Linked DNA regions of Caenorhabditis elegans. The protein of the gene in region 3 interacts with the protein of the main gene of each other region in a biochemical or structural test. Each region holds a gene or a part of one and is shown on either strand. Other genes may lie near its edges.

Region 1 (8,219 bases), 3.1 Mb from region 3:
TGTGTAAACAAAAATTAAAGTCACAGTCCATATAACATTCTCGATGGAATTCTAGTGTAATTTTTGAACTCACCTATCAGCAAATTACGAGAAACTGACTTACGCCGCACAATGTTTGCAAAATGCAAAAATTTGGTTCTATTGTTAACAAACCTAGTCTATCATTTGAGTGTACATATTTGCAAATAACGTGGTTATCAACAATTTTTATCATTTTCTCAATTTCTACTTTTGTGGTCACTTGAATATTGATTACTGTTATTTGGTAATGACTACCGCAGTTTTGAACGACCCCACATCTTCTTGGGGTGAATCAGCTAAACATGTCAATGCAAGCGGGGATAGATTTGCTGTTAAGGTGAGTTTGTGAAAATATAAATGAATGGGTGGTAAATTTATTTCTTAAGTTCTGTTTTAATCAGTTGAAAATGTTGCTGAAGTTTGTCACTTTAAATACAAAATGTCAAAATTCAGTACATGGGATATGCACCGATACTACAAACTATCAGGGAAAGACCCATTGCGGATAGAGATGCACTTGTTAGGTAAAGTGAAAATAGAAGACAGATTACTAATTTTAACCTTAAAGACATTGCATCAACACTGTTGTGTCTTCTAGAGCAACGCATGAGTATTCTGTAATTCAACATGAAGGGGTTTGAATAGTTTATTTAGTTTTGTCAAAGTGTTGTTAATAATTCAGGTTGTCGGTCCGTATGTTAGTGTATATCAGTTGGACTTATTTCTTAACATCAGCAGTTTCACTATAACATGTTTTCACATTCAAGACGGCAGAACTCATTTGCTCGGAAGATATAAGAATAACCAGATCTCGCACTATAAATACAGGGAAATAGTGAGTTTTTTAAAGATTTAACAAATATTTAAGATCAAAGAAGAGGTGTCATCAAAGAGGAATTTACTGAATTAAGTAAGAGGGATTATTCCATAAACGTACCTAAAATAGAGTCGAAACCTTTTTGAGTTGTGAATTTTCTAAAAAAGTCGAGCGGAACTTGTTTATCAGCATTTTTGATATAAAAATTTGAATTGGCCGTAATACCATTTAGGCGGTACTCTAAATCTAACCGCTTTGTGGCAAGTTCTAGCCTTAATCTTTCAGTCGTAACTAAATGTATATTTTTAACATAATTGATAATTGCAAGTTTGTGCACATGCACTACAAGTTTTATCATTTTCCCAATTCTCTATATTCTTTTCAAATAATGCAAAAATTCACATTTCAGGATGGACGTCATTATTTGGGCATTGTGATGAAAATTGGAAGAACTGAGAAACGAGAGTGCAACGTTTTCATGTTGGATAACGACATCGCCCTGAATGACCTTACAACAAAATTGCGAAGTGTCGATGAACGAAGACATAATAATGCGCTACAGTTGGAAACTCGCCTGGTTATTTTAAATAACATTCTTTCGCAAAATTATAATTATTCAGAGGTCGACACAAGAATACAGGTACACACCGAACATGCTTGCATGCTACCATGGTCCGCTGTCACACGAAGACGCCTGTAGGCAACTAGTTCTACCGGGAGAATTCATCATAAGGTATGTTTCGTTACTTCTATAAAAAAAACAAATTTTGCATTTTATAGGGATAGTTCAATGCGTGGAGAGTTTGCCGTTTCCTATAAAACTAGTCATGGACCTCACGACAAATCAATTGTGCCCAACAATAACATCGACTTTTTCCGACGATTTCAAGTCGATCAGAGTGTTTTGAAACATCCAGTTGTGAGACGTCAAGAGTGAAACCTAATACATTTTTATAATTTCAAATTTTTGTAACGACTACAATGCAAATAAAACTAGTTTATAAATGGCAATTGAGAATTTTAGTTCCATCGGAAATAAGAAGACTCCTTCCCGCTCGGACTGTCACATTTGCGTTGGAAATAGTGGCACCATCGTTAGAGTATAATTGTGTGATTGTTCTGAATAATAAAAAATATAAGATGTCGATTCATTTTATTTTTCGAGTTTTTATCCGAAAATAATTAACATTTGATGCATGCAAATGCATCCATTGTTAGCCGTAGAACTTTTTCAAATCAAAAGGACTGCTTCTTTCTGTTTTGTCAATTTTTCGAACATTCAAATTTGGTAACTGGTGAATTCTCCCCGTTTCCACAATATTTTTGCACAAAAAAGTGCCAGACAAATATGACACATAAATTTCTTTTTTTTTTACATTACAAGTCAAAATTTTGATGCGTTGAATTTTATTTCAGTCTATAAATTATGTCTTGTGTTCATAATTCAGAACGCAATTTATATGTTTTTTTCTTTACGCGCTGATGGGGGCGTTTTAAGTTTCAAGTGGTTCAGCTCCTTTGTCACAATATTTTCGTACAAACATGTAAAAGTATTTTCATTTTCATTATTCTTCAAATGTGTTCAATTTACTATCAATTAGACGCGCTGATTAAGACGTTTGGAATTTGTGATAGAACATTTGTTTGATGTGTAAATATGAGCCTTAACTTATCAGTTTTTAAAAACGAAATTGATTTCATCAATACATATTCAATATTTTGAAATTGTTTTTTTCAAGGAAAACAACTCACAGAGGTTTATCTTTGTCCGTGGGTACAGCAACTCGAAGTATCAAAGATGGTGAAGATGTTATGACATTAAATAGACTGAGTAAATACCTGAAAACTATCGACTTGACATTTTTCATTTCAAACAAAAACTTTAACCTACCGAAATTTAACTGGATGGCAGGTAATCAAAAATGAGCCATCAAAATCTTTCCAAATTGAGCTCGGCGAGCAGCCTAGATCGTACTCCTTCGAACTAACTATTTCAATTCCATTTTTGACTTGCACCTTCATTCGATAAATAGAGTTTCTGGTGGATGACGTAACAAAAATTGATCTACAAATTAAAAAAAAAAACAAATATTCAAAAACACATTTTAAAACCCACTTTTTTACAGAATCATAAACGATGCCAGTTGGGAAAGAAACTCGGGATATTTGTTGTATATTATTTCCACTCACAAAATAAATGTAACCGGTTGGAATCGGTACAACTCTGAAAAATTTTGAATACCGAAAATTGATTGTAAAGCCAGATTTACTTTACAAAAATTTGGTTAAAACAGAAGCATGAGTTTTTAGACTTAATTATTACAATAAAAACAAAAATTTTAAGAAAATTGCTTTTTCTTGTGGGATTTGGGATTTTTGCTTGAGACAGTGATTTAAAAAATACCCAAAAAAGAAATAACGTGAAATTTCCGATAAGTGCAATGAATTATTTTTACAAAGTGTTTGCATACAAGCGAAAAAAAACAGTCAACCCTTGATGATAATGCAGAAATCTACCAAACTCTACTGTCCTGTTTCAATAAAAAAAAAAACTGCACCGTTCAATGATATTTAATGCAAAGTTGGTTCCAAATATACTGGATTTAACAAAAAAGAACGAATTTAGACCAGCAGCCGATATATCAGTGAGTCTGAAATAAAAATGTGGAATGAAACTCGATTACGTAGAAAACTTGCTTAAGAAGCAAGTTTCAAAAAAGTTCAACATTTAAATCTAATCAAAAACTTAGAGTTTCTCTCTTCAAAACATGAACCAACTGAAAAATAAGAAAAATAATCCTACCCTTCAAATTGCTCATCTTTGAATGTTTTTCGGTATTGCCACGCATCATTCTGTTCGTTTGTCTCAAAAACATCGATATTGTTGGTCCTTTTATTGTGCACAAAAACATTTGGCTGAAATTTAAAAAAACGCTCTGGCATTAAACATCTCCCGCCCAACACCAATACCCCAAAGCCATGTTAATTATTGGAATGCATGTGGCGCTGGAGACAAGTAAAACTCATCAATTACTTACATTACTTGTCTCACTGTTGATACTTAATGCTCCTGGTGTCAGACGCCATTTTGGTGGTCCGCCGCGAATCTCTATTTCTCGAGCGGTACGATTGTCGGAGTAAAATGTGAAGAGATGTGTTTGGTCTGTATTGATGTCTTTCGAGTTCTATAAAAATATTCTGTTTCAAAGTTCTGTTCAAATTTATGTTCAAATTTCAAATCAAAATTTCTTACGACGCTTGCTTTCTCAGTTTCTCAACATTAAGTCGCTTTTGGAAAATTATGAATTGTGATGATATTTGGTTAGTCTGTCATAAGTGTGTTTTGGAGCAATATACCTATGTATTTGCTCTACAATATTCTGATAAGATAATCCAATTCCTTAACTTTTTATTGAGCAATAGAAGAAAAAGCTCTGTTTTTGTGAACTACTTCACATTTTCACCTGTTATCGCAATTAAGATTTCCCAGACATCAATTTCCGTATTTTTTGAAATGTACATATTGCTACTGTTCCTATGATTTCTATTGTAACTTTTTGAAAAAGGTTAAAACACATTCATTCACTCTATTCTCTGTCTCATCGTAAATCGGAATAAACATCAAGTATTTCTCTTTAACGTCATGACTACTTAGTAAAGTGCATTGCTTCATTTGAAATTTATCATGTTGCATAGCTTATTCAAAATTGCACGTCTAAGAATTTTTGCATTTTCATCGATAAATGTTAAAAGGTTTGTGATAACTTTCAGAACATCGCAAAAAAATGTTCCAAATCTGAACTTATATCAATAGTTGAGTACATATTAATCAACATACCGTAGTCATATACAGTCGTCCCGTGGTACTGGTAGTTAGTCCAAGAATTCCTGGCAAATTAGGAATAACGCCACATTCTCCAGGAACATGGTTGTAAGTCCTTTTGTTGATATCAATGTGTAATCTGAAACTGTTTCAGTCGTTTTGTTTAAAAAAAAACATAAATATTCTTCAAACTGTTTGTGTTCAGACTCTTCTCATTAATATTTGATTCCCTTACTTTTTCTCGTCTCTTGTCTAAAACGATACCCTAGAAAAATACATGTTTCTAACTGGTGTGTTAATGGAAGGGTTTATATTTACGAATTAGTTGCTCACAATTCTGACTGTCTTTTTACACATTTTTAGTTTATTATACAAAATCACTTTGAGTACTTATAATCGCGTGCTCAAGCACTTAGAATATTACAATTTTTCAAAAGAGATGGTGTACTTTTTTGGGATTTTTTTCCAACGATGACATTTTTTTTGTATTCGGAAACTTATGATCAGATTTTTTGCACTAGTATTTCCCTTTTGGTACATTATTAGATTATTTAAATAAAAAATTCAAGCAGTATTTTTCAAATTGTAGAAAGTCTATTACAATGCTGATTTTTGTTTTTCGTTTTTTTAAAATTTAATTGAGAACCTTTTTTGTGGTGTAAATTCTATGTTCCGTTTTTTATTGTTTTAACACCAGTTTTAGAAAAAAAGTGGGTTGGAGCATTTTTGTAACTGAACAAAATATTTTTCAATAGACTTATCATTATATTTTTAATTAAAAAATGTACCACTTTCCCACTTACAAAAGTTTCCCAAATAGAGTAGTGACTATAGCAAAACTTGTAAAAAATAAACAGTTACTAGCAAACGGGCTTAGCTGTAGCATGTTTCCAAGACAATATGAGCTTCTTTCCCACTTAACAAAGCTGTTTCTCCTCTCTTTGCATTTAAAATGTTTCCCTCGGTTCAAGCTGTCTATTCTATCGCATGGTGTCGTTATGCAACCCTCTATTGTGCATTAAGAAAGAGCTAGTTGGTAGTTGTTGCAAACATGATGAGCATAAAGAAAATTAATATCATAAGGCATTTATCGAATTAGTTTTTCATCTTGTTTCAAACCGGAAGCGATTTGGTATTTTGCTCCTCCTTGAGCTTCATGTATTTCAAGTTGTTAATTTTTGGTTTACAGTTTTTTTTTGTTGCAAATTTCAGATTCAATAAATAGAACATGATATTTTTCAAAAAAAATCCTCTCCGATTTGAATCAAAATACTGCGTGATCACGGCGCAAACTGCATTATTTTTATAGTTGTAGGAAACTTCAAGAAAAAAAATTTAGCTTGCAGTATAACTTTGTTTTATTTCTTTTAAAAAAATTAAAAGCGTTGATTTTACGCGTCAACTTCACAAATAGAAAAATTTGACTGATCAGTTTTGAAATTAAATTTAGAGCTTAGATAACGCAATCAGAAGGTGGGCGTGATGAAGTTTCTTATTTGTTGTTTTCTAAAAATTATTTTTCAGTTAAAAAATTTAAAGTATTTTTCCGGTTTTTCACACACGGAATCCAGTGAAGCATGTTCCTTCCAAGAATAAACGAGTATCCATTTTTTGCAAGTATTTTCAGATGAGTTTATTTCTGGGGAAGAAAAAATTGAGTTAAATTTTATTTGAAATAACAAAAAAAAAAGTTGATACATATTCTGATTTATAAGGTTTTTTTTGTCAATTTTCATTTATTTTTTGAAGGTAATCTACTTAACCGAAACAGTTTAATAATTTCGGTTTTTTGTGATTAAGTTACATAATGAAACTCACTTGAGCATTTTCTGCTCACATCATCCCGTCCAGACATTAATACCACCCACTTAATCTCAAGAGTGAGGTTATTCATACCTACGTCTTAAGTTTATTCGGTTTCGTAGACATGAAACGTTGATAAGGAAATTTGTCACGCAATGTCCAATGAACTTAATAATCTCTCAAAGAACTTTGAACTGAAATAATCGAGATGAAAAATTTGTTTAGGAGTTTTTTAGTTATATCGTTTTCCGAAAAGTGGTTAAGACTATTTCAAAATTGGTATTCAAGTATCAGTGGATCGTACTCAGTGTACATGAGTGATGATCAAGGATGTTGTAAATTTTTACTTTGTTTGTTGACAAATACTCATATAATCCAAATTTATTGATTTTTTAATTTACATGTTTTCATCGCCTTCTTATGCTCATTGCGTAACAATCGCTCTTTGAATATCTGATCTATAATAATAATGAGACATGCAAGTTTTACTGACATACAACAACTGAGTATATGTAGGTGTTTGCCCGAGAGAGTTCTGGAAACACGGAAAGAATATCGAATGTCTGATGTCCAGAATAGGAACCATATTTCCGTTACACGCCTTTTTGTTTCTTTCCTCGTAATCTCTGTAATCTTTATTCTTTTTATTCACTCATTCATTTGCAACTTAGAACCAAGAGAATTCAAAGTCAAATATTGCCGCCTACTCAAGTAGTTTACAAGTTATCGAATTTCAAACTCTCTTACCTGAATATTTTCACTTTACTCACTTTTTTTCGTTTCGTCATTTTCGAATATTTGAATTTTCCAAATTCCAGGACACTCAAAAATGAGCCATGCAAGTATGGTAATATCGGCATGCGCTTTTAATAGAAGTATTGCAACGCATATTTTGTACATCGTCCCCGAGATAATGTGTTCATTGTCTGGAATATTGTCAGTGGCAATAATAGTATATTCGTTCTTTCTATATGGGTTTAGACTGCTGTTCCATTATAATGCCAAGGTAACGTTCACAATATAACAGCATTTTGAAAGCAAAAAAAATAACAACAAAGAGTCATTGAATTAATTTTCAATTTCAGATTCTCATGATTCTGCTCACGATCTTTATCCTTATTTTTTCATTGGATATCGTCTATGTTTGCACACGACAAATATACCTTGCATTCAGTTATGAAAATGATTGTGATTTAGTTTTTGAAACAGCGTCTTGTTCCATATTCAGAAGAATTGCATTGTGAGTTACTACTGTAAAGGTTGAAGTAGTTTTTTTTACTTTAGAACATGTTTCGTTGGAGTCACTACAACTCAGTTCTGTCAAATGTTCGAGCGTCTAATTGCTACAGTAGCAAAAGAGAAATATGAATTTCAAACCCAATGGCTTGGTGGTTTATTGGTTTTTTTTTCAGTGAGTTTATTTTTCATAGTTTAAAATTCAAAATTTCTGAAGTTTACGTGTATGTACCATAAATTTTCGATACAATTTCTCAATAAATAGGTTTCCCGTTTTTTTTTTCCAGATTCTCTCCGCAATTCTTGCAATTGAATGGACTTTGTGGAATGAAGATCCATTGGAGCCCATGACCCATTGCCTTGTATACTCTACATCTGCATCAATTGGAGAAAGAATGTATATCGTGTTCCTGGGAATACTTGTTGTTGACATTTTTATATTGGCCGTTTTTCTAGCTTTATACCAAAATAACAAACGAAAAATATTGTAAGTAATGTAAATGTGAAATAATCAACTAC
Region 2 (7,576 bases), on a different chromosome or scaffold from region 3:
GGATTATTGACTACTAAAATTGTATGGTTTTACAAAGTGCAAATAATTTTGCGTCTGGAATACTAAAAGTTAAAAATTTTCGGACAAATAGTAGGTAATAGGGCTGTGCGGCTGATGACTCGGCTGATGGAGCAAATCAACGTTTTTCAACGTATTAGCAATGATCAATTAGGGAATACTTGTATTTGCCATATCGGCTGAGTCTTGAGCTTCTAATTCTAGAAAAAAGTTTTTAAAAATGTGCACACCCCTTCCAGAAAAACTCGTTTTTCCAATCAGCCGACAGCCGACAGCCGAGTTACTCGGCTGATTCAAAAAGCCGACTGTTTTGTCAAGGTGTGTGCACTTTAAAAAAACTTTTTTCTTGAATAAGAAGCTCATGACTCAGCCAATACTGCAAATACAAATATTCTTTAATTGATCAGTGCTAACGCGTTGAAAAACTTGATTGTCTCCATCAGCCGAGTCATCAGCCGCACAGCCCTAGTAGGTAATCATAGTAAATTTTAAACTTTAACTGTAAACCCACCGATCAAAATGTTTTTAGAATTTTTTGATCTGACTTGCCAAAGTTTATCAATAAGATCATAGAATATTTGTTATTGTAAGCCAACAAAGTCTAAAATTCATAAAACAACGAGAACTTACTTATTGCTTTGCGACAATCCTAATTTTCAGCAGAAAATGAATTGATTCGTCTAATGCGGCATTCATCGAATGTTTCCCTGTTGTGTTATATTTTGGCCTGAATGAAATTTATAAATTTTATTTAATCTTTTGATATAAAAAAAATGAATTTAGAGAAAATAAAAAGAAGTTTAACTTAGATTTTAAAAAACAAAAATGTTGGAATAAAAACAGTTTGAGGGGGTACGTTTTCGTAAGGGGATTTTTTCGTAAGGAACGCTTTCAGTAGGGCAATGTGCGGCGCGCCTTTTCGCAAGCCCGCCGCACAGTCCTTCGCAATGCGCCGCACGGCTTTTTGCAATGCGCCGCACGCTTCTTCGTATTTATTTATTTATTTTTCCAACAGGAAATTTCGAACGGAATTCAATTAAAAACGGATTTTTAATGGAAATTAATTAGTTTTATTCGAGCTAAATACGGATATTTTCAGAATTTTCGATGACAAAAACGGGTTTCAATCGATTTCGAATCGATCAAAATTAATATTAATCGAAAATGAGCGTTTCCTTCCCGGAAAAAGAAGAACTTGATGCTGAGAGTGATCCAAGCGGAGCCAAACGCTTTTTTAGAGGCAAGTATTGATGTCTAAAGATTAATTGAAGAGTGAAAAGTATTTTTCAGCGTTCACAAACAACCCGAGTGAGCAGCAATTTTCCAAGCTGAAGGCAAGTTTCTTTTTGTAGTTTTTTAAGTTCTCAAATAGGTATATAACATCGATTTGTTTTGTTTTCCAGAGAATGTATCATCACAACGACTATCAAAACCTGCGAGGAGTGATTCAAAAGACCATTCAACTATCAAAATCATTGATCCTAGACTTGAAGAGACGATCCGGAAATCGAACAACCGCTGTGCCATTATACAAAAACCCCGATTTCTGTACTTCAGTGTTTTTGAATTATACCGGTTTCAGTGCTTTTAATGAGAAACTTTTCCCTTTTATGGAAATTCCGAAATGCTATCACTGATCTCTTTGTTTACCTCTGTGCCATTAGATTATAGAAACAATTTTCCATACTCAGGTTATCCAAATTTCGCCATGATTTTTCTTACTTAATTTAATCGAATTAACTTTTGTTTGCAGTTTTATTTTCCATTTCGACTGAATAAAAAATCACTTCTATCATTTTAATCGTTTGGCTCCGCCTGGATCACTCTCAGCATCAAGTTCTTCTTTTTCCGGGAAGGAAACGCTCATTTTCGATTAATATTAATTTTGATCGATTCGAAATCGATTGAAACCCGTTTTTGTCATCGAAAATTCTGAAAAAAATATCCGTATTTAGCTCGAATAAAACTAATTAATTTCCATTAAAAATCCGTTTTTAATTGAATTCCGTTCGAAATTTCCTGTTGGAAAAATAAATAAATAAATACGAAGAAGCGTGCGGCGCATTGCAAAAAGCCGTGCGGCGCATTGCGAAGGACTGTGCGGCGGGCTTGCGAAAAGGCGCGCCGCACATTGCCCTACTGAAAGCGTTCCTTACGAAAAAATCCCCTTACGAAAACGTACCCCCTCAACAGTTTTTTTGGTAAATGCAGTTGCGCTCCGATGATAATATGTCGCAACGGAATGGTGGGAATTCAAATAAATTATTCTGTGTACACACACCAACAAGCAACAAAAAAAAATGTTTATGAACTTTTAAAAACGGAAATTAAAAATTGCAGAATCAATTATCACAAACTAATTATGCATTTGTCCATCATTTTCTGAGTTAACGCTACACCCATTTAAAATTCACAACAGACTTGCCAAAAGAAAATGAGAAGAACGGAGGAAGTGCTCACCAAGAGCAGAAGAAAGCTCGTTCAGCTGAATTCTTCCCTCTATCTCTGGTTGCCTCCTAGTTTTCAATACTATCTCTCCTTCAGCAGATGGCCACTGGGACCAGCCGTTTCCAAGGAGGTCCACACAGTCAAATCCTTTGTTTTAGTATATGCTGTATGTTTTACTTGAGAGCGGAATATCCATTTTAAACTTTAAAAGTGGTCCGTTGTTTTGACTTTTCCGATATAAAAATTGATAAAAGCTCACTGAACTTGATTAGCATTTCATTTTATCTCGACTTTAGAAAGTAACCTTCCATCCAGTAGTGATCCTTTTAAAAAATGAAAAATGTTAAGTGTTCTTTATTTAAATCAGGTTTTCTATTTTACAGAAAATGGGTCTCCAATCGGCAGCTGCTCATTTCATAAATCGTTTTATTATTTGGATTACTATATTTATGGTTGCATGCTTTTTGTTGAGACTTTTGTAAGTTCAAGGGCACAATTTTAGTGATTATATTAACTTTTTGGTTTTCAGAGTAGTACTTGATCTCAACAAACGTGTTTATAATCACACACCTGGTCCCTGCAGAGTTCTAACAGATAACTGTAAGTTTAAATTTTTTTGAATTTTAAATTTTGTAACTGAAAAAAGGTTTTATTACAATTAGAAACACATTATGCGGATATCAAAAGTAAAAAATTATAAAAAGAGTCATCCATCTATATTCCAGATAAAGGAACCGCCGGCATGACATACGTCGAATCTCAAAAACGGGTGTACATAACATTGGGGTACGGTAGAGCACACGATTTGAAAACAAAAACTGGCATCGCATTTTATAAAACAAATCGAACAGATGGAAGGAGTCAGCAGGAAATGTATGATTTGATTGAAATGACAATCAATTGGAATGGTTATGAATATAAGGTGTGTAATTTAGTTTGAATAGCCTGAAAAGAATTGAAATATTGATTTGCTTCAGCAGTGGGGGCAATATAATGAATGAACTACTCGGTGATTGAGAGAAACTTTCTGCCAAACTTTTGCAAGTTTCAGACAACATTTTGAAAATGAGAGACTTAATCAGATCAGCAGATTGGTAGCTTATCTGAGCAGTTTTAACAGCCAGGAAGCCAGGTTGTTGGCAAAAAGTTTTCCCGAGATCCGAGTAAGAAGCCCCAATCGGGAAAGTTATATACTTTCGAGAATTATAATAAAACCTGAAACCTAGAACCTTTATTTTCAGAAAGAGTTCATTCCAACAGGAATTGATTCATATTCTTCATCAAATGGTCGTGTACTTCTCTATGTAATAAATGCTCATCCAAATCATCAATGTATTCATTTCTTCCAAATTGTTGAAAGTTCAAAACTTAATCATCGAAAAGCAATATGTGATCCTTCATTTTCAAGTCTCCAGGATATTGCTGTAGTAGGACCAGATCGACTGTTTGTCACAAATATGGCTGCATTTGGGAGAGGATGGGCTCAAATTTTGGAATTTTCATTACAGGTGAGTTGACCTCCAATTATGGAATCATATCAAATGACAATCGGTTTATTACAGACTGGACAAGGAGCTGTATACTACTATGATGGTAGCAAACTATCAACTGCTGCTTCCAGCCTGATTGCACCTACGGGAATTGGATATGACGCAAAACGAAGAATTCTTTATGTTGGATCTATGATCAGAGAGGTTTGGAACGTTTTGGTAAATTTCCAAATATACAAAACAATTTGGGCTTTTGAATAAAACTTCGAGACACTTCGGCGGTTTTTTTTATGCTGAAATTGTTTCAAGTTATTCGAAAAGCTGCCTTCACAAAATTTTAAACACTTTGTTTGTTTCGATGATACGCATTGGCATTTTCTAACTTTTCCCTGGGATCACCTATGTTAGAAACACGGAAGTCATTAAAAAAAGCTAAATAGTTTCGCAGCATCTGCCAAGAAGATACAATTCTGAGGTCTACTGAAAAAGTTGTTGCAACCGACAGCTTTGATTTTATATTATTTCTGTTACGTTTCAAAAATATAATTTGTTTAAAAAAACTGTCCTGAAGCACAAACAACTTTTGAATGAAGAATTTTCAGTCAATATTCGCTTACAAAGTAGCGAAGGATACAACACTTGAATTATTGTATGAAATGATGTTATTGACATCACCAATTGGAGTTTTCGTTGAATCAAAAACTGGAGATATTTGGATTGCTGCTCATCCAGTTATTCATGAATCTGCATGGCATTATACTCATCCAGAAAATCAAAATATACATTCTCCAAGCCAAATTTTGAGAATAAGGATACAGGTTTGTATTATTTTTGTTTTTATTTCAAAGTTTATTAGGCAGAAATTTAAAACTCAGATCTGAATACAGTGTTTCTAATTCAATCTTTAAAAAACGATTTATTTCATTTTCAAATAAAAATAAATTTTAACCAGCAACTATATAGTGGAAAGATTCCTGTTCCAATTTGAAGGGAGCAGTTCCTGCGTAGATATATGGAAATATTATATAAGGCTCCACAAATGACATTATAATAAATAAAAATAAAACTAGAATAAAAACCTTGAAATTAGTCAATACCATAATGAATTTAATGAAAAACAAGTAATCTCCGGAGAGGTTTAAATATATAAATTTATTCGATTCAAGTGTTCTTATGACTGAAACACATGATATGTTCGACCACAGACAAGGTACTTCAGACTAAAAATGATTGAGACAAGTGTTGTGAATATTGGAAAAATTTAGTTCCGTTTCACGAGATTTCGAAAAATTTTGAAGAATTTTGAAACTTTTTCTTTTTTTTCGAAGCATTTTTAGTGCATCGAGCTTTCCCAGTTTTCTTCTATTTATTAAAATAATCTAGGTATTCTACCCCGTTCAAATTTTTTTGTAAAATAAATTTGAAACTTCAATATAATAGCTTCTTTATCATTTGTAAAGTATCAAATTACGCTAACCAAGCACTTTGTTCCCATAAACATGTTGTCAAGACTCGAACTTATCAGACTCTGTTTCCACGTTTTTTATCAATTCATTCAAATACTAATCAATGCGAAAAAGCGTCAAAAAATCAAAAATCGCATTTGTTTCAGGAAGAAGGCAACTCTTGGGTAACAACTGAACCGTATGCAAACGATGGAGCAACTATTTCGGCGAGTTCATCAGTTGTATTCACTGATGAACAAATGTTAATTGGAAGTTCATTTGGAAGACTTCTTCATTGTGATCTTACGCATTCATATATTACATAGTCAAACTTTTAGAGCTTATTTAAAAAATAAACCGATGAATATGATCTAGAAACAGATGTGTTGTAGACATTGTATCTAGATTTATTTATAAACTTGTCGAGGCGTAACGGGGGCGCCACGCCTCCACCCCTTTTCAATAGCCTTCCAGCGTTTTAGAGGAAAGTCGATTTATGAGAATTTAGCAGCTTTCAAATTAACTAATTTCTCGTCACAATTAGTCATTCTTAGTGTCTTGATTCGAAGTCTGATAATATATTTCTCATTTATTGCCATAAAGAAATAATTGTAATACTTTAAATTTCAATATTTACTATTAAATATCACAGGAAGACAAGAACAAAGCTCATGTTGGGAATTGAGAATCTATTCGCGAACGTACTCGCGGCGAGAAACAACGGATCCAGATTCAAGAGTAGTGATAAGCTTGTCTCCTTCGAGCCAACGGGTGATAATTGATTCCTTATCAGAGTCCTTGATCTTCTTTTGAATGTGAATGAATTTTCCGTTCTCGAAGTTGACAACTGACTTGACGGTACGGCCATCTGGAGTGGTCTCATCGAATTCCTGGGATAAAAACATTAAATATAAGTCTGAAGAATGCTAGTTCAATTTCAGGGTTGAAACAATTTTTATTGGATACAATTACTTGGAATTTGGGGATAACTTGCTCAAACCAAAAGCTCAAATGGATAGGATAAAATGTTGGCAGGAATTTGCTCACAGCAAATTGTGGGCAGAAAGTCGCTAAACTTTGTCCACAATTGCCGATATCAACGAACGTGCATTTTGAAATCAGATATTGTTTCTCATGGCTTTAAAAAAATATTATTCGTGCATGAAAAAACACGAAAACTATGGGAAATACATATTGTTTATCAAAGTCTTATAACAAGAAATCAATGATCATTTTATGATTTATGGTTTGAAATGTTATCACCTGGAATTTTAAGACTTTTTGTCTGTGAATATGGAAGTAACAATTTTTATTCATAAATTTGTAGTGCGTTTCTTTATTTTTATGTAACTTTTTTGTCGCAAATTTGGAATCAGAAAACCCACATTTTTTTTGATAACATTATTTTTGTCTTTTGTAAGTAAAAAACTTTGCACTTTCTTACCTGTCCCAACTTGAAAGAAAGAGTGGTGTTCTTGAATGTGGAGTATTGGTTGGAATACCACAAATCTCCTTCGACCTTGATTTCCAAAGTTGGCTTCAAGTTGGCAGCAGCCTTACGAGTGATCAATCCAACTCCAACCTCCTTCATGTACTCCTCGAAGTTCTCTGAGTGAATGAGCTTCCAGCGTCCAACGAATTCTTGAGACATGGTGATGGTTCTGTAAATAGAAGAAGTTGGAAAAGCAGGTAAAAAGTTCAATAGATTAACGGATATGTAATAGGTCTGAATAAAACGTTAGTCTGAAATTATGGTTAAAAAATCTTATTTTAAAAATTAATTTTAGAAGATGAACTATCATATCACTTGCAAATGGAAATAAAAGAAAAGTTGCAAATCAACAAGAAAACGAATGGCAATGCCTTGGGAAATCATTCGTATTTAGGTGGTCTGATAAATGGAATGATAGGGGGCAAGAGTGGGCGGAGATTCAAAACGTTTTCTCTATTTCTGTCTCCTCTATTTTTCGTTTCGTTTTTTTTTGAAGAATGATTCATTTTTTGATTCGTTGCATCATTTTTGAAAAATAAAAATAGAAAAGAGGAAAAGTGAGGAATTTTCAGTCGAATAAAAACAAAAATATTATCAAAAAAATTCTGAAATTTCTGAGGAGGAAAATATCGTTTTTGATTAAAGTATATCTAAGTTTTAATTTTTTTTAAATTTATTTTTTT
Region 3 (8,251 bases):
TCAGAGAAGTTACTTGTTGGATTTCAAGAGTTTGGCCGACGAGGAGTCTGGATGTAAGGGTTTTCTTTGTTTAGATTGAACTTTTTGAAAGTGGAACCTGTTTAAAATATTTAGTTAATCGTTCTAGAAAATACTAGAAAATACAAGTTAGTGCATTTTTTTAAACTAAAATCACAATTTGAATTTGAAAAGCCGTAGAATAATATTTTGCAATGGTCTCTGAACATGCCCCTCTATAACCTAAGTTTCTGCATGTAGTCTAGCTTAACGTGTCACAATAATTTTGTTCAGAAATGTTTAAAACGAAGTTTGCTTTGCAGTTGGAAAAATAAAAAGGTCAATGGAAATTCTTTTTCAATAGCGTCAAGTCTTCTCAAGACGATTTTTTTTGTATGCATTTTTTCCTAATGGGTCAAATGAATATATAATTTCCACCTCAACCAATATTCATTAAAAATTTCAGCCGCCAGTGCATCTTCATCCCGACACGCATCAATGTCTATGCCGCAGAAGCCGGCCGGAATTCGTGGAACTAGAACGTCAAGCATGCCACAGGCGATGAGTATGGAGGCGAGTATTGAGAAAATGGAAGTGCATGATTTTTCGGACATGTCGGTGAGAATTAATATTTTTCTTTTATTTCAATATTTTTATTGTGAAGTATTACAAATAACTGGAATTGTATTTGGAGTGGTTGATATAGTTATAGGTTTTTTAAAAATCTTCGAGTGACAAGAAGTTGATGCCACTACCTTTAAATAATTAACGCACTAATTTTCAATGACCGAGTATTTTCAGTGCGATGTGACACCACCACCATCTCCTGGAGGAGCTAAGCTTTCCCAGACTATGCAATTCTTTGAGATTTGCGCCGCATTGATTGGAACACTGGCTCGTTAAGCACTCCTTGATGCCAACAATGCTCTGTGTAAAATTCAACTTTTCTGTCTCAAAATTTATTTCTTCCATTCCTTGTATTAAGCTTGAAACCCCCGTTTCTTATATTGGTTCACTTTGTTGCAGCTTACAGTATCTTTGTATTTTTTTTCTTGACTCTGTTTGGTTTTGCCCCTCCCCCCTTCACCTCCGTAAATGCCACGTATTTTAATTGATGCTATTCTAGTGCCGCTTTCATTTTCAGCCAATTTTGACAAGTAACCATACAAATAATTATTTAAAGTTATGACTTGACTTGTCACCCCCTTTGTTTCTGTGAATAGATTTTCCTTCAGCGAGTGATTGTTTCTGTTTTTTATATGTTTCTCTTCAGTAGTTTTTTTTTCTGTCTTTTAAACTCCCCTTCTCCTACTTCTTTGTGTCTATTGTAAGTAAAATATTAATTGAATAATTTCCTACCCAAAATTATTCAATTATTCTCATGTAAATTTTTATTTTAAGACACAACATTGCAATGGTAACTTTAAAACAAGAAAAAACAAATTCAGAAAGATCCAGACGCAATTTTCTTTGCCTTCTCAGCCTTCTTCTTTTTGTACAGAGAGTAGTTATGTTCGGCACTCATGTAGGCAGTTTCCAAGAAAAGGAACACAAATTCGCAACAGGTAAGGAAGGATATTCCGCACCAAAGACCGAGTTGTCCACCAAAATCGGCTAGCAAGTTGACAAACTAGAAATAGTTGAGATAAATTTTTTGGAATAAAAATAAATTTTTTTTTGCCTGCTCGCTAGTAGTAATTCGGCATTTTTTCGAATTTTTTTGATACATTTCTTTGATACACGTTCTTTGCCTAAATTTTTCAACTCACCCCATAAGCCTCTGATTCAGTGAGCATTTCAAAATTCAACTGCTCGTAGAACACTTCCACCATTGCTCCGTTCTCTCTCAAATAGGCCCAATTTTAAAGTGTGTTTTTTCTTGAATTAACTTACTTATAATGCTTATTACACTCTACCGCTGTACCATTACACGATCCTAGTTGAATTTGCAAAGATAACGACGGCCACTTTGCCGGCGAGTATGTAACGGAGTAGATTGACTGGCGGCATGGTTGTTGGCATCTTAAAATTGAAATTGCAGTTTTTTATTTAAAAAGTATATAACAATTCAAAAGTTACCTGCAACGGAAAGATCCGTGTAGGCCTCCCAAGTCATTCATTCTGGCGTCAAGACATTTTCCTGCAGAAAAAAATATTTATGGAGATGTCAAATTTGAAACTAACTTGCAATAGGGTCTGCTGCATCGCAATGCCGTGCATTTTCAGGGACTGGGAAACGTGGATCTCCACATCTGCACTCTTTCAGCACGAGTTGTTGGAAGCAAGAACGGTAGCAGCCCTGGAATAGTTCCCTCTGTTATCATATTAAGTTCTATATTTAATTGCTATTTTAACAAGAATCACAAAGTTTCTATGACCCATTTTTCCTACTAAACTTGCTTAAATTCTGTTTACTATTCACCTCTACCGAATATTCATAATTGCTGTAAATATAGTCCGATGTTTTGCCATCTGGCACACAATCTCCATAAGGTGCTGGCAAACGTGACATCTTTCGCTGAAAACAACAACACCATTACTCTATAAAAAGAGTTTGAATTTCTAATACCAATCGTAATCCAAATGAGGATACATATCCAGTTGGAGCAGAATAACCGAACGTATCAGGAAATGGGAAATCTTCTTTGTCATGAATAGTCAAACGAACGCCTGTGGCTTCCGTGGTTGGCATATAGTCAGACGCGTTTACATAAACCAGCATACGTAATCCGTACATGGGACCTGGAATCGGAACACGTTTTTTGGTTTATACATAACGGACTTCAAAAATTATTTTAGAAAAAAATATGTGGAAAAAATTTTGAGGAAACTAACCTGCTCGAATACTAGTCAAGTTTACTGTTCGATTATGATTGAAGGTAAAGCACGAACCAAACGCAGGGTCAATATGAGTCAGAAAATCTCTGAATAATTGAATTTATATCATATCTGAAAGCCTAACTAACGCTTCGATATCACACGCTTTTCCGTTAAACGAGCACTTGTGGACAAGTTCCCTTTTTGTAGTACTTAGCCGTTCCCTATCTTGCATTGACAAGGTAGCCATTGCAAACATGATGTTTTCCTTGGCTTTAGTGACAATTGCAACTTCATCTGTCATTCCCTGAAACTTTTCAGTTTCCACTTGATTTATATATTTGTGATTGTTACCTGAAATCCCATAGCTTCAAGGAAGTTTGGATCTTCAGTTGGAGTTCCTCCTTGAAGATATGTCCAAATTTCAATTGGTGGCGTCTTTCCGTTGTATGCTACACAGAATCTAGATGGAGCACAAATACATGGGGATCTATGGCCCTTCGCTGAAAAATTCCGATTTAGAAAAAAACAACAATAAAAATTAAGAAGAGTAAAATCAAACAAGTGAAGCTAGTTTGGCAAAGTGATTGAAAAACCTACCAGTTTTGTTATCTTTGGTGCAGAAAGCATGTTCATTGCAAGTATCACATTCGGTGGTTTCCCAGGTTCCGTTCAGAAAACAGGGCCACGCATCATGAGTTGATCTATCGAAAGCGCAAATACACCGATCGTCAAATCCCGTCGGCTCGTCGAATTTTGTTCTGAACGAGAAAAAAGATTTGTGGAGAACATTTCGAAACGTCTCATTATGAACTTCTGTATTTTGGAACCATATGAATTTCAAATTTATGGAAGGCAAAATTGAGCCTTCTCAAAAATTGGACTTATCAAAATGGACAAACTTTACCGTACCTCAAAATTGTAAGACTAGACTTTTTCAAACACTTTTTTGTCAAAGTTGTTAGACTAGACTTTACCTCTCTGATTGACATTCTTCCATCATATTCATTCCAGTAGTTGCTTCCACATCGTAATTCTCATAATGCTCATTGTCATATTCTTCCATTCCATCCCATTCCTCATCGGCATCTGTGTTCAAAAGAATGTTTTACGCGATGCTCATTTGACATGCAACACTCACCATTAATATTAAATACCTTTTTGGTAGTTGTTTCAAGTAACTCTTCCTCCTTCTCCTCATCCTTATCCTCTTGCTCACTAGACCCTTGGCTTCCACAAAGGCATCTTGCAAATCCTGGCTCAAAAAATGCTCCAGATAAATCACGTTTTCCTCGACGACGTGCCGGTTTTGTGGTGGGTGCAGGGGTGGTGGGTGGTTCGGTGACAACTTCGCGTTCCTCTTCGTGATCTTTGTTTCCTCCGGCTTTTCCCATTGCTCCATCAAATGCTGACAACGTTCGCTTTACTAAATCCACGCTTGTTGCTAAACTTGCTTTGTAAGGATTCAAATTACAAAGCGTAATTGCTGGAAAAGGTGCAGTGTCTGGAAATAAAAAAGCTCAGTAAGGAGCACATGATTTTTCAAACTACCAAATTTCAATTGAATATCGACAATTTTCTCATTCCTGTTGTATTTGTCAAGCACAGATTGAGCATTAAGATAGAGCATTATCATACATCCAAGAAAAAGTACGACCCAAACTGCTCGATAATATACGTTTGGAGCTTCACCAATCATGGGAATTCCGTGAGCAGATGTTTTGTAGCAAAACTCTTTGAAATGCCAGGCTAGACGTTTGTCATAGGGTAGCAATTTTGGATCGAATTCTCCCGTAATAAGTTCACACTGAAATTCGGAAATGTTAGATTACTCAGCTGCGACTTTTTGCAAGTTTTATTTTTTTTACCGTTTATTGAACATTTTAAGCGTTTTGATTATATTGTTCCAAAACAAAAAATCTTGGTTTTTAATTTTGGTACAGTTTTGCAGATAAGCTATCAAAGTAAAATAAACAAGTTGATTCAGCAAAAACTTAGTAGTTATAAAGACAAAATACTTATCGAAGAATTAAGAAAATACGGGCCTTCAAATTTACAGTTGAAAAACTTCAATGTATATAACGAATATTTCAAAAACTGGGAACAAAATACAATTGCATACAAAAATAAAATTTACCGTTGCAATTTGAAAATTACGTAAACTCACTTGTACTTCTGATTCTGTAGAGTTGAAACATTCGCCATAACCAAAATCTTCATAATATTCTCTTTCTGTCACAAATTTAGTCGTCTCTTGTAAGTACGCTAACGGGTCTCCATAAACCTGGGACATGTACTCGGATGGGTCCCGAAGGTGTTGGTAGTTTTTCAGGTTTTGCATCCATGACATTCTATAACTTGATAGCGATAAAAAAAATAGCATTAGCAAACTGATACTCTAAGAAAAATGAAGGAGGGGTAGTCGCTGACGACAATGATCTTGCTCATGTCTTCACATGGTTCCATTACATTATAAATGTATAGAATAGTAGATTGTTTCATACTTGTAGAATGAGAAGAAAGCTGATGGTTTTGAGGCAAGATAAGATCCATGAAAGTGTGTTGAAATGTGCCTGGTGTTTGAGATGTTCTGGTGAGGGTGGAAATGTATTTGAACATTCTGGAATTTTTTTTACACTACATTCGGTGCAATTGTTCTACGATCACAAACCTTCAAACATGAATAACTATTTTTTGGAAGGGATCACTTTTATTCGACGAGACAGTAAAAAGTAATTTTTTCAATAAAAATAGTTGAGCACCAGTCAATGCATATACAAAACAAAATCGGTATTATTTAATAAAGCAAAGTGTGTCTCAATTGCTTATAAAGAATTGTAGACAGGGACAAATAAAAAAGTTCGAGGGGATAGTTCATGAAGTTGAAAAATAAGGTTATGACGTGAGAAGATTTAGCAAATGTCCGAGACGACAGTGACTAGCTTGCCATTGACAAAAGTTGTCTTGAACTGCTCCGGAACCGGGAACTCCGACTGAAAAGGAAATTTAGATTGGGTTCTACAATCCGAAAAACTTACATAATCCCCATCATCATTGGTTTGCACGGAGATGTTCATCTCACTGGATTTGGAAGTGACAATCTCGCATCCTTGAGCCACCTTTGACAAGTACACCTGGCATCCATCAGTCTTCTGGATTGAAAGAGTTGGGAGCTCTCCAAGGGTCTAAAAATTAATAACAATAATAGATTCAGTGAATTTCGAAGCATATAGTTGACTGAACTTTATTAGTAATTTGGAAGATTTTAACGATTAAAACCAAATATTTATTTTCACATTTTTTATTTAGAAACTAATTTTATGTTCAGACGGAAAAAAAATAGTATTGTATTTGAGCTTGTATTGAAGCTTGTACAACTAAAAGTCTTCTGATTACCTGAATTTGCACAGATTGGCAGTTGACAGTTTCGCACTGAGCCACAAGGGCATCAAACACAACAGACGTTTTCTTGCACCCGTCCAAAGTAATAGAATTGGCCTTTCCGTTGACCTTAATCACAGAATTCTCACAACGGTAGATATAGACAGTCTGCTTCTTATCGGCAACATCGAGAACAATGTTTGGATCGTTGACAAAGTACTCCTGTAAATAGTTTTTCATTGATAATGCTTATTGAATATGTTTTTCAAGTTGTTGAAACACTTACCACAATCCATTGTTTTCCGTTTTCCAGCTCCTTGTGTGGTGGCTTCCTTACTGGAGCAGCTGGTTTGGCAGGAGATGAGCCGCCCTGAGAAGCACCAGCGGCTGGCACAACAGCGGTTCCTCGGAGGTTTGGGTTCTTGTGAGTCTGCATATCGGCCGTGACCTTCTTCAGTCTAGAAGTAACTCCCTCTCCCTGGTTCAACGAAGCAAAGAGAGCATCACGGCTTGCCTTGTCAGCATCTACTGGTGGCGGAGCAATGTTGGCGAAGAAGTCGGCTGGTGGTGGTGGAGGTGGTGGGGGTGGTCCTCCTGGACCTGCTGGAGCTTTTGGAGCTGATGGAGCAGCGGCAGATGGAGCAGAGGCAGAAGCATCAGGGGCGGCTCCTGGAGCGCTGTTCCAGACTAGACCAGTAGTGTGAACTTGACGAACAAACTTCTGCATCTCTTCAAATACAGCCTTCCAAGCCTTGGTCCACTCAACGTGTCTTGGATCGGTCTCCTTGAACTCGCGGAGAATTGGGTTGATGTAGAATTGAGCAGCCTCAATGAACTCCTTCACGTATGGAGCTGGGGTTTTCTTCTGAAATTAGAAGCAGTTTAGAAAATATGTATGTTAAGATTATCGAATCTTGAGCACAGTAATATTTTATTTCAACTTTTGAATGTTAACATACCACGGTCACCCATCCAAGAGCCGGAAGTGCTTCAGCCACCGAATTGAGATGGTTCCAGTGAGGGGTCTTTCTCTTCGTGTCCTTGAAATTGTTGATTTCACCAAGCAAGTTAATAACTGGAGTGAGCATCTTCTGAGCTTCCTCGGCCGATGGCTCCGATTTTCCAGCAGCAGACCATAAATAGTTGCGCATACTGGCAAACATAGCCAACACTTTTGGCTTCTGAAATATTTGTTTTACGATGTTAAACTCTTATTCTATGTTGGGTAATTTGGATAAAGATAAGGAATTATAATAGATTAGTGCAATTTTTTATTTATTTTTGTTTTAATCAATACAAAACATCATTTGAACACTCACCACAGCAGCAAGATCGCCGCCGAGTTGATCTGTCAACTTGCTCCAATTGGCCAGTGGCTCCTCGATGGCATCATCGTAAGCACGAACATGAGCTGGGACTTCTCCAGAGTCACCGGCAGAAGCGGCAGCAGACGCTGAAAACATTAACTTTATTTTAATTAATTCAAAAGTATCGAACCGGTTTGCTTATTTCTAGAATTTTTAGTTTTGAATTTACAATTTACTAAGTTTTACCTTTATTCTGATCTATAAATACAACTTTCTTTGAAGAACTCCGATGAAGTGACGGATTTTTGATAAGAATCCCGTGCAAATTGTCGCCGTATAAGTTTCTGTGTCGTCCCGTTTTTTCATTGTCTCGTAGATACCTCGGAAGCGCACGACGTGCCATTTCCTCAATATCCAGATCACTGTCGTTATCGTTGTCGTAGTTCGAATTTGGTGAAAAAGTTGAAGTCGGTGAAAACGTTGGGTTTGAGTAGTGAGATGTTGGTTTCACCGAATGTACATTATTATTCCCGTTGCTATGCCCGTGACCATGTCCGAAATGAGGTTTGTTGTATGGCATCGGGTCGGATGGCATGTGAACATTGATATTCGGCTCAATGATAGCCACTGGTGGTTGAGACGAGTCACGTCGATTTCTCGAATCGAAATCATCGGTGTGACTATTATACGTGTGACGGTTACTCGTGAAGCCATTAATTACAGTTGGACCCGATCGATTAAACACTTTT

What was found.
Region 1: of the proteins of mec-4 (region 3) and poml-1, one has a biochemical effect on the other in vitro, tested with the Caenorhabditis elegans proteins (one study listed by BioGRID).
Region 2: of the proteins of mec-4 (region 3) and mec-6, one has a biochemical effect on the other in vitro, tested with the Caenorhabditis elegans proteins (one study listed by BioGRID).

What each region holds. Positions count from the first base shown.
Region 1 is NC_003284.9:13,717,371-13,725,589, forward strand, and holds poml-1 (PON (paraoxonase) and MEC-6 Like), read right to left. Parts: upstream 5,552-8,219; 5' UTR 5,548-5,551; coding exon 5,465-5,547; intron 4,801-5,464; coding exon 4,677-4,800; intron 4,024-4,676; coding exon 3,877-4,023; intron 3,755-3,876; coding exon 3,642-3,754; intron 3,490-3,641; coding exon 3,397-3,489; intron 3,063-3,396; coding exon 2,955-3,062; intron 2,904-2,954; coding exon 2,730-2,903; intron 2,678-2,729; coding exon 2,591-2,677; intron 1,982-2,590; exon of another isoform or gene 1,958-1,981; coding exon 1,837-1,957; 3' UTR 1,776-1,836; downstream 1-1,775. Other genes in the region: shc-3 (SH2 domain-containing protein), read left to right, coding at 269-358, 475-545, 590-656, 704-856, 1,248-1,415, 1,459-1,571, 1,619-1,775; K11E4.6 (G_PROTEIN_RECEP_F1_2 domain-containing protein), read left to right, coding at 7,294-7,470, 7,550-7,704, 7,749-7,875, 7,988-8,187.
Region 2 is NC_003279.8:6,722,315-6,729,890, forward strand, and holds mec-6 (Mechanosensory abnormality protein 6), read left to right. Parts: upstream 1-2,849; 5' UTR 2,850-2,852; coding exon 2,853-2,944; intron 2,945-2,995; coding exon 2,996-3,066; intron 3,067-3,191; coding exon 3,192-3,388; intron 3,389-3,707; coding exon 3,708-3,974; intron 3,975-4,028; coding exon 4,029-4,160; intron 4,161-4,558; coding exon 4,559-4,774; intron 4,775-5,568; coding exon 5,569-5,727; 3' UTR 5,728-5,775; downstream 5,776-7,576. Other genes in the region: W02D3.13 (uncharacterized protein), read right to left, coding at 649-714; lbp-6 (Fatty acid-binding protein homolog 6), read right to left, coding at 6,091-6,291, 6,846-7,052. UniProt on the Caenorhabditis elegans protein: Subunit of an amiloride-sensitive cation channel (degenerin channel complex) permeable for sodium, potassium, lithium and N-methylglucamine, and required for mechanosensory transduction (touch sensitivity).
Region 3 is NC_003284.9:16,801,951-16,810,201, forward strand, and holds mec-4 (Degenerin mec-4), read right to left. Parts: upstream 5,166-8,251; 5' UTR 5,165-5,165; coding exon 4,982-5,164; intron 4,622-4,981; coding exon 4,366-4,621; intron 4,319-4,365; coding exon 3,956-4,318; intron 3,904-3,955; coding exon 3,792-3,903; intron 3,576-3,791; coding exon 3,415-3,575; intron 3,318-3,414; coding exon 3,169-3,317; intron 3,122-3,168; coding exon 2,964-3,121; intron 2,922-2,963; coding exon 2,833-2,921; intron 2,740-2,832; coding exon 2,567-2,739; intron 2,516-2,566; coding exon 2,420-2,515; intron 2,297-2,419; coding exon 2,182-2,296; intron 2,138-2,181; coding exon 2,077-2,137; intron 2,020-2,076; coding exon 1,891-2,019; intron 1,843-1,890; coding exon 1,767-1,842; intron 1,628-1,766; coding exon 1,442-1,627; 3' UTR 1,371-1,441; downstream 1-1,370. Other genes in the region: aak-2 (5'-AMP-activated protein kinase catalytic subunit alpha-2), read left to right, coding at 1-53, 464-615, 799-900; cas-1 (C-CAP/cofactor C-like domain-containing protein), read right to left, coding at 5,727-5,807, 5,853-5,999, 6,211-6,417, 6,482-7,060, 7,155-7,376, 7,515-7,648, 7,749-8,251.